Linked DNA regions of Lepisosteus oculatus. The protein of the gene in region 1 binds, or shares a complex with, the protein of each later gene. Links are inferred from orthologs where the notes say so. Each region holds a gene or a part of one and is shown on either strand. Other genes may lie near its edges.

Region 1 (7,078 bases):
TTACGAGGCCCTGTAGGCCCGCCTGCCCCCCGCCAGCCAAAGGGGTCACTGTCGTCCACTCAGCTCATTGACTTCAAACCTACTGGCCTCCCCTGCAGAACCCGAGCCACAAGTTCTGGTCACAGTCGGCTAATAGATTCACACCTGCAGGACCTGGGCTCCGAGAAGCTTTTATCAGCCGTGCAGCTCAAAAAGCTCTTTCCAAGGACTTCAAACAGTGGGACGCCGATCTTCTCTTCCCAATTCTTCACATTAGGAATGAATGGTAGATGTACATAAAGATCCATACTTGTCCTTCCCCAGGAATTTAACTTTGAAAGTATTTGAAACACACAATTTAATTACTGTAATTTAAAAAAAAGGAAGGAATATACCTTGACAATAAGCACATCAAACAAAAGCTACCATACAGAAACGGATGCTGGATCAAAATCTGTTTAGGTCTGCTGAATATTTTGAAACCAGTGTTTTTATTTTTTACCGCTGTGAACCATCTTAAAATAAGCTAAAATTGTCACAATATCACAACAACATGTGAATACAATTCTGAGTGAATTTTGCCATGATACACAGATAAATACACAGATTACCCTGTAGGTTTTCTGACAAATCTGGCTACTTCCAATTTCTTAAAACAGTCTTGCTTTCTATTACATAGAATTATAATCAGACATATCATACAAAATCATTAATTTCAAATTCCACAAAAGGATGAAATTAAAGTCAGCTTCCCATAGTACCAAGAGAACTCAATGGCAACCACCACTGCCAATGGGTTCAGTCAGAGAAAAAACGGAATGCGCTGAGCTGTCGTAAAGCGCCCCAATATGAAATCTAAGTGGAACACTGTGTATGACTGTGACAGAGGGCTGTAAATGACACCCCAATAAATGTTGCTGATCTACCAGCAGCAGTACATGGCGCTACAAGCCAGCAAGGACGGCATCTGCCTTAACAGCTGCACTGGGAGTGTGGAAATTTTACAGTCCAGGCTAAAAGAAAAGAAGAAAAATAGCCCTTTGAATATAAACCTAACGCAGACTCTAATCCCCGCTCTCAATAAAGGTTGATCAAAATGTGAAATATGTGGGTGCAGAGGATCTTAAATCTGGAAGATGAATCACAGGAGGAAACCTGAGCAGCTGATTCTATGCCACACAGACAGTAGTGTATCTCGGCTGCTCTTCATCACACAAGGCACAGCCCACAGTCACTGCAAAAATACACAAAAACAGCTGGGAGACACCCAGCTCCTCGCACCTCTGCGGGAAGATGTTAAAGAAAATAATTACTGGGTGCGGCCTTGACCTTCTACAGCGATAAAGCAGAAGAGGCACAAAATGCCTTTCATTGTGGAAACCGATTCTGGGGACAAGCGCCGCTTCCTTACAAAGATGACGAACCCCCTGTCCAACATGCAGGACTCATCCTGTCCTCGGACAGAGGCATCCTCATCGCCGCACCTAGCCCTCGCGTTTCTTCAGCATCAGGGTGCACTAGCTGTACACAGCATCATACGTATGGCGAGACAGTACGGTGATCCAAGTTATGAACACACTGACTGCAGCCTATGGCTTGGCTCACATGTACAGATGCACTTCAGTGTTTCCCTGTCTATTAACTGACAAGGCCAGGTGAGGCTAAGCCAAGAATCACACTGATTGCAAGGCAGTCCCTTGCTTTCAGATGCTTTCCATATGACTGGCACGAAATATATGAAAAAAATACAGAAAGGGAAAAAACTGAGGTTTTTGTCAACTATAGCTCGACAGGCGCCCAGAGGACCAAAATCTATGGATACAGTTTAAACCCACCTACCTAAGAGATTCCAGAAAAACAGATGTCAAAAATAAAAGTCGAGTACATATTTAGTATTCATTATTTATCTCCAGGATTAGGAAAATGGCCATCTAAACTGAACAACCTACTAATATAAGAAAAAGCAGGCAGTAATGAATACAAAACACTTACAAACATGCGAACGTCCTGTACAGCTGTTTACCACTTTCCTGAGGGAAATTCCACAGAAGTACATTTCACGTGTGCCCAAGCATTGATGCTGTAACTTAACCTCCATGATTGTACCCAGCTGCTCTGCCGTAATAGGTCATGTTTTATGTTTTTAATAGTTCTGCTGTCGAAGCAAGTGAATATCATTAATAACAATAACATAAATGGTGAACAATGTTTGATTATGTTAAAGGACATGGCGTCTATGGGAATGGTCTTATATAGGTCTACCCCCAGAGAGCACACACCTGTAAAACAATTGCTCTCTCACACACATTTTCATTATAGTCAATGATCCTTCGCTGTTCAGTATTCGGTACAGCATTAGCTGAATTTCAGACGGTAGGTGTGAGATCACCCAACTTTCTCTTCTTATAGGAAAAGCCAACACTATATCAATAAGTTCTGAAGAGAAATATCTAGGCTATTGATTGGGTTGTTGGTACACCTCTTCATTTTCTGAATGAGACAGCTTCTTGTAGTACGATTTGCATTCACATTTAAACCACTTGCTTCGATTTTTCCTTTGGAATTCTTTTTCACCAACCCGGGCATAAGAAACCATACAGGAGCCATGCCTAACTCACAAATCACACAATTTAACATGGCTTATCCATCACATGCACCTTGCATGAAGGGATTATAAAAAAAAAACAGTCTGCCAAGAATAACTCTAGAAAAGTCATGTCATAGAAAAAACAGCAACATCTTGATCCACATCATGGAACTCGCCTTCACTGTGAAGTCCTGCTGGAGCGGCGGCAGAGGACAGCCGTTTACAACATCAATATTTGCATTTGGAAACTATGAAAAGGAGAAACAACGCCGTGGACAGCTAATGAGAGGTTTTAATGAGCAGCAGCTGAAAAATACCTGAGATACAGGCAGCCGAGGTGTCGGTCAGGAGACTAGGGCTCAGGCTGGTTTTAATCCAGAATTAGCTGTGCCCGTTTACAACCGGTGGTATGGCATCCAATGACTCAGAAGTAGACAACCTAACTGCGAAACAGTGCTGTATGGGGCCACTCGGATGTACACAAACCATTTAACCGGGCTAAATTTCATTATCTTCACAATTAAACTTTTTATATGGCCGATGAAAGCTTCCAGGAGATCTCCCGAAGCCCCGGTCGGCCTGAGCCAGGTTATTTAATCACGCAGGGCTTCGGTACATTGTAACGGGAACACCGATCTACCGCTTTTCGTGATATTTTAATTTGCTTGATAAAATCCAAATCTCAAGGAGGCGTCCACATCCCCTGCCAACTTCAACAAAATGCACCTTGACTGTTCAAAGGAAAAAAAATACCATTTAAGAAAAAAATATTTAAATATAATCTGTGGCTGCGTGTAGTCTTCACAGCAATATTCTGCAGAACAGACAGCCCCAACACCAGAACACATAAATAAAATGCATTTTCAGACACTCAGGGCAAACAGGAGCTGAAATTTAACATTTTTCAAAAAAATATATCCAGGAATTAAAAACGCGCACCTACCTCTGATTATCTTCCATCGCCAGAGAAATTGAAATTACAGGCAGAGTGACCGAGAAATAGCGAAGTTTTTATTCTCTGTGTGAACTGAGAGGTCTCTGCTCAGAAATGTCTCCAGCCAGGGCCAAAGCACAGACACAGGGAGAGGAGAGGGTTGTGTTGCTAAGAAGAAGCAAGAGACAGAGAAAAGGGCTTTCTGGATTGTTCTCCTTAATATAAAGGCCTAAGACCCTTTTCCTCCATTTTTCCTGCCCCCGTTGAGTTCCTGGGAGGCTAAGGGCGGCGAAACGGAAGGTTTGAGCTGGTTAAAATGAGGTTCTGTCCCTTTAAAAATAAAAATAAAAAGCTTCCCCATCAACTGCTGCTGCTGGCTCTCTCTCTGGGCTTGTTGGGATAGAAAGATGGAGCTCTTCAGCGCGCCTGCGCCGCAGCTTGGGGCCCGGAGGAGAGGGGTGTCCCGGCATGCACGGTAAAACCCAGCGGAAGCGACGGGCGAGCCTGCCGGAAGGGCGCCGCTGACGTCACGCGCCGGGTTGAGAGTTCAGAGGTGATCGCAGGTGCTGGTGGTGGGTGACTGCGGGAAGAGCAGGGATGGTCGGGATTTAGGGACTGAGCGAGAAGTCACAGGTAAAAAAATTATATATATCCACGGTTTCTCAGGTTCACCGCCTTTCCTTTCCCTGTGAAATGAGTCCGGGATGCGTTTTAGATGAGGGAGCTATGCAGCATCTATGAAAGCACGCTCAGGCTCCTGCCGTTGAGGTGCTGTAGTGAGGAGACTGTAAGGTAACATTGCGTACAGCACAGTATCCGTGTGGTGGTTGTGTTCTTCCCAATGAATTGTAGCGCATGTGAAATAAACCCTGCATGTATTTTGCAACCCAGACGGGTTTTCCCTGTTTGCCAGGTTTAAAACATTTTCAGCCCGCTTAACAGTTCTGGCAAGAGTGTAACGTCATGCCTAGTTAAGCATAATTGAAGGCGAAGGCAAGTCTGGCGCAGTCAGGTTCGTGCAACTTTTCAACTGGCAGGTCGGAGCACAGCACCGAAGGGCTGGTAATTACAATTCAAGATAAAGACGCGCAGTCACGTTTCAGACATGCCGACGTGTTCGATTAGGCTCTCAAAGATAGCTTCTTCAGCTCATAACTTTTCCATAGAGTCCAGTTCAAGAATCGGGTTAACAATAATGCAGCTCACAAGCAAGCAATAACCGTCTTTTGTTTTGTATCTAAAATCTGAAAAGTCAGTCAATATAGTTTTCGTTCTAGACAAATATTTGTCGTCGACAAGGTGAGAGCCTGGTAATTCATCTGAATGTAATGTACTCATCGTGATGAAATCCTGACTTTCTGGAGGAGGCAGGTTTTACCACTGTGCTCATTTCGCTGACGGAGGTGTCAGTTTGCCTGTATCCATTTGCACTGTTTATCCTGCAGAAGGGAGTTTGCCTGCCTGCTGACCTCTAATGTCTTTTTCCTTCTTTAGGCACCAAGGTTATGACATCATGAGTAAAAGAAAGTCTAAAGAGAGCACTTTAACACTGGGAGAATGTATTTCTCAGGTTTGTATTTTTTATTGATGATAATTACCGTTGGTACCAGTTTCTTCCATTTTAAATAGGTGGACAGGTTTTTGCTGGGACTTCATCTGAATGTATGGTGAGTTCGAGCCAGAGAACAGTTAAGTGAGGAAAATAAAGCAGCCTCTTGAGTAGGCACTACATTATTTAAGGATTAGTCTGACACATCTGGACTCCCGCAAAACATTGGGATTGTGTAGATCAGAAAGATAAGAATGAAGTGAAACCATGTGTTGCATAGATTAGTTCTATCTGCAGGATCGCTTATCTGCGATCAGTATTTAGGTCATGCTAGCTTTGCATCTGAAAGAAGTTCTTGCAAGTAGAATGTTGAAATTTGACTTACATCAGATACACTAACTTCCCTTCATCTATTTTCTTATTCTTAGTTTCTGCTGTGATTATTGCAGATTCACACTGTTCCTCTTTGTTAACAATGATAATTGACTCGAAAAAGCCCATGCGAATCGCAGCACTTTTCAAAGTGTAATCTCCGTTCTAAATCTGTGTTAGTGTGATCCTCTGATGTCTGTGTATTACTTGTGATTGTGCTGTCTGCATCAAAAATTCGCAGAGGATCTTACCAGATAAAATGGGTACATTTAATACTATTTGTATTTCTGAAATTCTGCATAGTTAAAGTATTTTTTTTGCTTCTTAGAAGCTAAATTTGTCTGATCTTGTCAGAGTACATCCTCAAGGATTAGTTGTTAGGCTGTATAATCAGAATGTAAGAACGATGGAGCTCTAGAAGTTACCACCTGCTGCAGCTCAAGATGTTCGGAGTGTTCTGTTCTGAGTTTGGCCTGAGGGGCATCTAGCTCTATTGCCTTATTTTCTGAAGGCTAGTTTCTCAGTACTCATTGTATACTTTGCATTCTGTATTAAATGCGTTTCCCATGACAGTAGATTGTTTTATATACTAGTGGAATTGTTTACTTATTTTCTTAGTGCCTGACAGATGAAAACCTTCTTGCAGAATATGTGAATCTGTTGGATAGGATTAGTTGCTAAACTATAACCTTTATGTTTTTGCTCAGTTGCTGTTACTGTGCCTGCCAGGTATTCCAACATATAAAATATGTTTTGATTTTAATACATACATTTGATTTTTTCTGCTTTATAGAGGCTATTAATAGCCAGATAATGTATCTGTATGCCCGTATATCTGTCTGTCTTTTTTCTGTCGGCTATATTACTGAATTTTTCAGTTTCACCTCACTTTTCTTTCTTATAAATATTTGTACATTGTGAATCGTACAAAAAAGAACAAGTGATTTTTTATACGATATTATTACTATTTCATCTGTTTGAATGGTTTGCCAATCAATAAAGACTCCCTTTGTTGCTGTGAAGTTTAACGCGTGCTTTCTTCTCGTTTTCAGGCTCACAAAATACTGAGGGAAAGGTGCTGTCACCAGAAACTCCCCAGCAAGCCCTTCGGAGTGGAGTCCCAGTATGAGTAAGTGTTTTGATTGCCCTTGGACTGTATTCAAATGCCTTGCTTCCTGAAGAGCTTGAGTGTCTTCAGCTCGCTAAGAGCTTAAACAGCACTTGGGTCACTGAATACGATTCCCCAAGTTTAACCATTGCTGCCAGCCTGTTCTGTAGCATAACACTTAATTTTACCTGCTCTCGTTAATCATAAATAGTGCAGTTATGTCTGTCGGGGTAAGGTTGTCAAGTCTTTAACCTGTGAAGGACAAACAGATGTACAAAATTGTAATTGCTTTATATTAGATGTTTTTGTCTCAGTATTTTTCTTACCTTTTCCTTCTAGAAACAATTTCTCTTTTTATAGCTGATGATTTTGAATTTTCACGGCCCGTGATGTAGTTTGTAGTTATATGCAAGGGAAACAGCAGATCAGAGCCATTGGGTCTATGTCTGAGCTATTTTGAGGAGCACCACTGCAAACTGTGCTGTTGTTGTGTCCTCATTCCCATGGAGAAAATGCCATGATTATTAATGGTAGCAATTGACATTGGTC
Region 2 (7,525 bases), on another chromosome or scaffold:
TATACATTTAATCAGGTTATCTTGATCCTTTATTAAGACTTTCATGAAGATCTAATTATGTTTTAGGTCTATATCATTGTAACGTCCCAGTGTGTGTTCTGTGTGTGTTTTTTTCTGTTATGTCCACACTGCTGACCCTTGATTATTCTCCCTTCCCCATTGGCCCACCATTACACCACACTTTCAGTATGATGTCATCATCAATTAGCTCTCAGCCAATCAGAACACATCTTATTCAGCCTATAACATGGAGGTTTTCAGCAAGGAGAGGCCTTTTGTTTGACTTTGGTCCCGTTTGCTTCTGGTTATTGCTTCGGCTTTGTTTGTTTGTTGGTTTGTTTTGCTTTGTGTGTGTATTTTCGTATTAGCTTCGGCTTTGTTGTTTTGTTGGTTTTTTGTTAGTTTCTTTGTGCTTTTGTTTGTGTGTGTTCATCCTTGTTTTGCCATTACCTTGCCCCACTGTTACATGTTCAACTTTTGTGTTCTTTTGTACCCTGCTCCTGTTGATTACTCTTGTTTTCCCTTATTTCTATTCCTGGTTCACTTGTGTTTTTGTGTGAACTTTTGTATATAAGGTTAGTTTAGGTTGTTGGGTACACTTTACACACTCGGTTGATTTTGTATTAGTACACTAGTTTCGTACGGGTGAGTGCCATTTGTCTTGTATGGTTTTGGGTAGTCAGTTAGCTAGGGTGTTGAAGACGCCGAAGACCGTGTTTTGGGTTTTCTTTTGTAGTCCGATTAGCTTTCCCTCACTGTCCTAGCCAGCTCCATTTTGTTTATTATTTTCTTTCCTTTGGCACCACTTTAGTTGCTTACCCTTGTTATCACGCTTCCTAATCCCTCACCAAAACCCACCTGCTTCCAAAAGAATTATCCTAAATGTTACACCCCTTTACCCCTAGACACTTGGGGTCGTAGCAATCATACATGGGAATGCGTGTCTGTGTATAGGCCCACTGACTGGGATTCACAATCTTTTTCCCAGCACTGCATCGAAAGCCCAGCTACCTCTCATTATCTTTAAATCAACATAACTCACACTCATGTCATTTTCTCATTTGTGTCAGAATATGCCCACACAGCCATGGATGAAAGACTTAGTCAATGACCAACAGGATTTTCACACAGGGTAGCCTTTTTATGGTTTTGAAAAGTCTTTTTGAGGAGGCCCCCTCAGCGGGTTTCCCGGATGAGTCAGTGGAAATTCACCTCTGTTTGGGTGTGAGGAAGAGAGAGGCCAGCTGGCGTAGGTTCAACCTGGATTCCTGCACACCATTCCTGTAAGGGGAGCTGGTCCAGGCTCCCGTGAAGCATAGTTCAGGACCCTATGCAGACGGTATGATCCGGAAGTAACTGGAGAAGGACAGCAGGGAAAAGACGTTGAGGATCTGGAGAATGGACTGGAGTAGAGGACAATGGGATGGAACTGAATGTTGGGGCGTTAAAGAATAAAACGCATCTCAACCCTAATATTTGTTTTTTAGGGAACATCCCACCCTTCTGTGCACGCAGCTTGACAGCTCCTGACTTTCACACGGTGAGATTCAGAGATTCAATCTCTATTGTCTATTGCACAGCTACGCCTTTACTGAGAAAACCCCCCGGCGCAGAGGAGAGAGGCTGAAGCAGCATAAACGCCAGTGAAGCGGCAGCCGTCTGGAACTTGCAAGGGACAGCAAGGCTGTACCCCTCAGCTGCAGGGTGCGTTTACTGGGCTCCGGATCGCTCTCGTTTCCCAGTCCTCAATGGTGCGGCAGTATGATGTATACAAATCCAGAGTCGTCATTTATTATCCTATCCATCCTACCAATGTGGAAAATCACCCGCTGGATCTTTGCCATCTGGATCCCAGAGGTGTCCCCTGCGCCCACAGGGGGAGAAGGAGGCAGTACAAAGGGCTCCCCTACCCTGCATCGCCCCCTGCTAGGCTGTTCCTTGATTCACATCCTCTGAGTCAGAGGGCAACTCATCTTCTTGCAACCAGTTGCTCTGACAAGCTCTGTTCGGTGGCTCTGGTTCACAGTGGAGCTCCTCGGATACTCATGGGGTTTCTAAGTTTTTTTTTTTCCTCAGTGGAACCTTTTTCCTCCCATGTGCTGAAAGAAGCCGTGGAATTTCGAAGGCACGTCTTTCGCAAGAGCAAGGGGTGGTACAGTCCGCAAGAGAAATTACATTTTTTTAATCCAGCACTTGCACTGCAGAGGAACATCATTTAATGACGGGCAACAGTTGAGCACATTGTGCTCTGGGCTGAAAAGCAATAGACGCCCCCTCCAGCTGCTCTAAGTCTCTGGATCCTGAAAGGCTCTGACAAAATCAAGTCAACCCAGCAGGTCTCTTCGAAATTCCCAAAGGAGTGTGGGAGTTCTGAAAGAAATGAGTCTTTTTACTCCTGAATGGAGAAGACTACAAGGGGACCTGTTCCGCGTGTTCAGTTTTTTCAGCCTGGCGCAGAAGGACATAACTTTAATTCCAGAAATGTATTAGGCGGATCTTCTCTGGACTGATTCAGAGCAGCCATATCTAATTTGTAAGGGGGCAGCCAAAATTGTACACAGTATTCTAAATGGGGCCTAATTAGTGCATTGTACAATTAGGCCAAAGCTTGTCGCTAGACGTCTACAGCCTCTCTCTCACAGCACATGAGCAGCTTGCTGGCTCCACAACAAAGTCTCCATCTGAGACTCTTCTCAGCTCTCACAGGTTCAAGTCAGCAGCTATATCATCCTGCAACTCACAACTGGCAGTGCACTAAAGCTCAGTACGTATGAGCCTGACAGTACCTGGATGGGAGACCTCCTGAGAAAAACTAAGGTTGCTGTTGGAAGAGGTGTTAGTGAGACCAGTGGGGGGCGCTCACCCTGCGGTCTGTGTGGGTCCTAATGCCCCAGTATAGTGATGGAGGCACTATACTGTAAAAAAGGCTCTGTCCTTTGGATGAGATGTAAAACCAAGGTCCTGACTCTCTGTGGTCAGTAAAAATCCCAAGAGTAGGGGTGTAACCCTGGCGTCCTGGCCAAATTTCCCATTGGCCCTTACCAATCATGGCATCCTAATAATCCCCATCTATGAATTGGCTCATCACTCTGCTCTCTTCCCTACTGAGAGCTGGTGTGTGGGGAGTGTACTGGAGCACTATGGCTGCAGTCATAATCAAGGTGGGGCTGCACACTGGTGGAGGGGAGCCCCCATTACCTGTAAAGAGCTTTGAGTGGAGTGTCCAGAAGAGCGCTGCGTAAGTGTGAGGAATTATTCATTATTATCATTCTGTCTAGGCAACCGTGGGGGCAGCTGGTTTGGACCCCATGCAAGACCGCAGCAGAGTAATCCTGGGAAAAGTTCCAAATTAGTTACCAAATCCAAGAAACGTCAAGCGATGCCGTAGATCCAGGGATAGAGCAAGAACTTCAAGAGCCGAGAAAGACGATAAGGTTTAGAGTATTCATCCAAAGGGAAAAGCGGGAAGCTCAGCAGTGAGCGGAGTGAGAGGGTGTAAGTAGGGAGGAGTGTGTGTGGAATGATAATTGATTAATTAGTGCAAGGAGAGAGGCGCTCGTGGGTATGCGGTGACGTCGAAGTGCTCATGTGCGGTTCATGGCAGCTTTCTTCTGGCCAGTTTCCTCCACTTTGAACTTTGAACCCCTGGAGCAGGGGAAATTGTTGCCTTTATTTCATATAGTGCCTTTTGTGACCGTCACAGTTCCTGCACAGGAATGCTTGATGCCCTCCGCCACCCGTTTCGGCCTGCAACACCTGGGGCGCGAACCTGGGTCTCCGGCGTAACGCCACAGGGAACCAGCCGCATGAGCTAAAGGGGACCTCCCTCAGCCCAGGCTGCTGAGGTCCCTGCTACGCGCAGGGAGGGCGATGACGTCACCGTGTCCGAACTAGCTCCGCTACACTTTCATGGTGCATAATCTCAAAGCGCCGGTGTTTTCTCAGCCCTTTGTCTCTCATGGAGTTAACTCTCAAATCGCTGAGGTCCAAGGAGTAAAATGCTCTGAACAATATTGGACTTTAAAGTACTTAAAAAATCAGCATAGATCCGTGACACGATTCCCTTTGATGTTGTATCACTATAATAAGTCAATCCCTGCAAACTGTTGTCTGTTTTTTAGTATCAACCAAGATTTTCCAAATACTATATCCTTTTATTTTTATCCAAATCTACTTGATGAAACAGTGTACCTTTCAATTTGGTTTTCTGTATATATAATATCTATTACATAAACAAGGATATATGTCCTACAGTTCATTATTTTATATTAATACAGTGCAGTATGAAGTCATCTCTACAAGCATGCGTTCTCTGGGAATTTGTCAGCTGTCTTTGGGTCGTTCCAAGCATATCCTAAGGAAAGACTACAAATCCCAGAAGGCCAAGCAGCCCGTGGCCTCCAGACGAGCTCTGATTGGCCACTTTTCTGTTGTCATGTGACAGGAAGGAATTTGAGCTCTAACCTCGGCGTGGCGCGAAAGCATGTAGCAGCAGGGAGACACTGGGGGAATTGCTGAGAGATCAGGTGCAGTATGTGACGTTGTTTTGTTTGACTGAGCAATATTAGCTCGTCCAAACGTGGTGCATAAAAGCTTCGATACTGCCACATTATGTTATCACTTAATAATTCAGCAAAGCCCTTTGCTATTTAAGAATTTGTTAGTATAATTTAAAGAAACACCGTTAGATTCGGTGAGCAGAGACTTCGGCTCTGCAGAATAGCTACAACGGGAAGCGAGACCGTAAAGAGCTCAGCTTGTATGCTGGCGGTACCGCACTCGCTCCTGGGACAGTGGTTCCCTGTGTGAGAGCCGTGACAGCCGAGTCGGCGCAGGAGTTTACTGTCGGGTCCGAGTCAAAAACCGGAGAGGCAGGGACAGAACCAGTGGTGCAACTGAGCTCACCGTTAGCGCTATGATATGGCGGTCTAGCAGACAAACAGGGTTTCTGTGACGGGTGTCTGTGTGTGCGCTGGAACCGCAGAGGTCTCCGCTGGTGTGATCTAAATGTTTCGGCTGCACTGTAGCACTCCTGCCTTTCCGATACAGTAAAACGGAGCTGAGTTCATTTCCACCAGTCTGTGCACCGGCGTTTCGGCGTTACTGATCAGAGCTCCATCGACAGCAGTGCGTCAGTACAGTGCGTCTCCCTTTCAGTAAGCAGCCTGATGTAAACTCACTTGTTTGAGCGGTCAGTAATGAGTATTAATATGCTAGTATATTATCTTAGACGTAATCGTATATAAAGGACGCCTGCTGTTTTCCACATCCAGTACGCTGAGACTCTCTGAGTCAACGTGTCTGTGATGCTCACTCAAAAACCTTCAGCTCTCCAGCTGGTCTTTTTTACGCTTGTTCTATACAGCTTCTAAAAGGAGCAGAAATGTATAAAGACAACAGCTACTGTATATCACCCTGTACCTCACACCTGGAAGCCCCTTGAAGCTCCGCAGGTGTGAGCCTGGTCAGTACCTGGATGGGGGACTCCTGGGAAAGCTGAGGTTGATACTGGAAGTGGTGCTAGTGGGCCAGTAGGGGGAGCTCACTCTGCAGTCTGCGTGGGTCCTAATGCCCCAGTATAGTGATGGGAACACTATACTGTAAAAAAAAAGGCTTCATCCTTGGGATGAGACATAACACAGGTCGTGACTCTCCATAGGTCACGAAAAATCTCGGGGCTTTGCTGAAAAAGGGTAGGGGTGTTAATTCTGGAGTCCTGGCCAAATTCCCCCCTGGCCTTTACCAGTCGTGGCCTCCTAATAATCCCCATCTGTGAACGGGCTCATCACTCTGCTCTTCTCCCCACTGAGAGCTGGTGTGTGGGGAGTGTACTGGTGCACTATGGGTGCCGTCACATCTTCCAGGGCTGTACATATGGCGGTATAGCTCTTTCGGCGGAGTGTCTGGAAGAGTGTTTTAGAAGTGTACGGATTATGCTGTGGATGATCAAGGAGTCACCTGGGCTTCACCGTGAGTGGACCGCAGTTCTGGTGGGGTCCAGTAGGGGGCGCAGTCTCCACACTGGAGAGCAGTAAGGGCCGTGGGAATAAAGGGTGGAGGCGGGGGAGCTGGGGTTTGTAGTCTCCCCCCCGTGTGGCCGCCTCCCGTGTCCAGTGTGTCCTCACCGCCGCGGGCCCCTCTGCCCCCTGTCTGTCCCTGCAGGATGCAGGCCCAGCTGCAGCACCCTGGCTACCCGGCGGCGCGCCTGCAGGTGGCGGAGGAGGCCGTGCCCTGCCGAGAGGCGCAGGCGGCCGCGCTGCTGGCGCTGTTCGGGGAGGTGAGAGGATTGGGTGGCGTGTGCGTGTGCGTGTGCGTGTGCGTGTGCGTGTGCGTGTGCGTGTGCGTGTGCGTGTGCGTGTGCGACTGGCGCGTGGCCTGCGTGCCGGGGTCTGGGCAGGGCGGGGCAGGTGTCGATCAGCGCCGGCCCTCAGCCCCTCTTCCTCCCTGTCCTGTCCCTGCAGCCCGAGCACTACAGCTACCCCTCCCTCTTCCTCTACGGACACCGGGCGACTGGGAAGAGCCACGTCACGCTCACCCTGCTCCGAGAGCTGCAGGTAGGCCCGGGGCGCCGCCGGGGCGGCTGGGTTTGGGCGGGGAAGGCCTGCACTGGGATGGGGCTTGGGCAGGGGCAGGGGTGGCCAGGGTGGGGTAGGGGCAGCTAGCCAGGGCCTGGGGCAGAGACAGGGGCTGGGGTGGCCAGGGTGGGGTAGGGGCAGCTGGCCTGGGCCTGGGGCAGAGTCAGGGGCAGGGGTAGGGGTGGCCAGGGTGGGGTAGGGGCAGCTGGCCTGGGCCTGGGGCAGAGACAGGGCCTGGGGTGGCCAGGATGGGGTAGGGGCAGCTGGCCTGGGCCTGGGGCAGAGACAGGGCCTGGGGTGGCCAGGATGGGGTAGGGGCAGCTGGCCTGGGCCTGGGGCAGAGACAGGGGCTGGGGTGGCCAGGGTGGGGTAGGGGCAGCTGGCCTGAGTCTGGGGCGGGGGCAGGGGTGGGTGGCTGGGGTGGGGTAGGGGCAGCTGGCCTGAGTCTGGGGCGGGGGCAGGGGTGGGTGGCTGGGGTGGGGTAGGGGCAGCTGGCCTGAGTCTGGGGCGGGGGCAGGGTCAGGGGTGGGTGGCCTGGGTCTGGGGCAGAGACAGGGGCAGGGCCAGTCTGTGCCCAGCTCACTGTCTCTCTCCTACAAATCAACGTTTAAAGTCCAGGAAAGGTCATCGGCAGGACTGGCCAGGCACAGTGTCATCACAGGACAGCGTATGCAATTAAACTGGAGTTTGCATGAACAATACAATGAATATACTTCTGATCTTCTCATTTGTCCTGAAACAAGTGCACGTCCACATATCCGCTGTGTGCACCTAATTGTGGGTCGCCATACGTGTGAACATGTGCAGTGCCCTCCAGAAGTACTGGGACAGCAAGGTGTCTGGTATTGTTGCTTACGGTCGGGCCATTTCTATTTGTGATCTCAAGATGGAAATGAATAAGTGCAATCTGAATTTACACTTCAGTTTAAAAACGCGTACGTGTTGGGGGC

The links.
Region 2: the proteins of orc4 (region 1) and orc5 are in contact, whole or in part, in a cryo-EM structure (PDB 7JPO), measured with the Homo sapiens proteins. The link is inferred for Lepisosteus oculatus from reciprocal best matches to the Homo sapiens genes ORC4 and ORC5. Residues at the interface, in NP_001177808.1 of Homo sapiens: Ser18, Gln21, Arg22, Arg25, Glu26, Cys29, Arg30, Gln31, Arg69, Thr74, Asn100, Leu102, Leu103, Gln104, Ile105, Ile109, Glu113, Arg116, Asp162, Arg277, Met281, Met284, Leu285, Asn288, Met311, Asp312, Ser313, Lys314, Asn316, Ile317; in NP_002544.1 of Homo sapiens: Ile17, Ser20, Leu21, Phe22, Gly23, Glu24, His26, His27, Phe28, Ser29, Phe30, Pro31, Tyr36, Gly37, His38, Thr39, Thr98, Phe99, Asn100, Val103, Arg104, Arg131, Glu134, Asn136, Pro139, Gly140, Arg143, Gln145, Glu146, Leu147.

What each region holds. Positions count from the first base shown.
Region 1 is NC_090707.1:2,792,104-2,799,181, reverse strand, and holds the start of orc4 (origin recognition complex subunit 4), read left to right. Parts: upstream 1-4,017; 5' UTR 4,018-4,133; intron 4,134-4,994; 5' UTR 4,995-5,013; coding exon 5,014-5,070; intron 5,071-6,473; coding exon 6,474-6,550; intron 6,551-7,078. UniProt on the Homo sapiens protein: Component of the origin recognition complex (ORC) that binds origins of replication. DNA-binding is ATP-dependent. The specific DNA sequences that define origins of replication have not been identified yet.
Region 2 is NC_090702.1:48,312,380-48,319,904, forward strand, and holds the start of orc5 (origin recognition complex subunit 5), read left to right. Parts: upstream 1-4,459; 5' UTR 4,460-4,526; exon of another isoform or gene 4,527-4,531; intron 4,532-6,162; 5' UTR 6,163-6,163; coding exon 6,164-6,277; intron 6,278-6,461; coding exon 6,462-6,554; intron 6,555-7,525. UniProt on the Homo sapiens protein: Component of the origin recognition complex (ORC) that binds origins of replication. DNA-binding is ATP-dependent. The specific DNA sequences that define origins of replication have not been identified yet.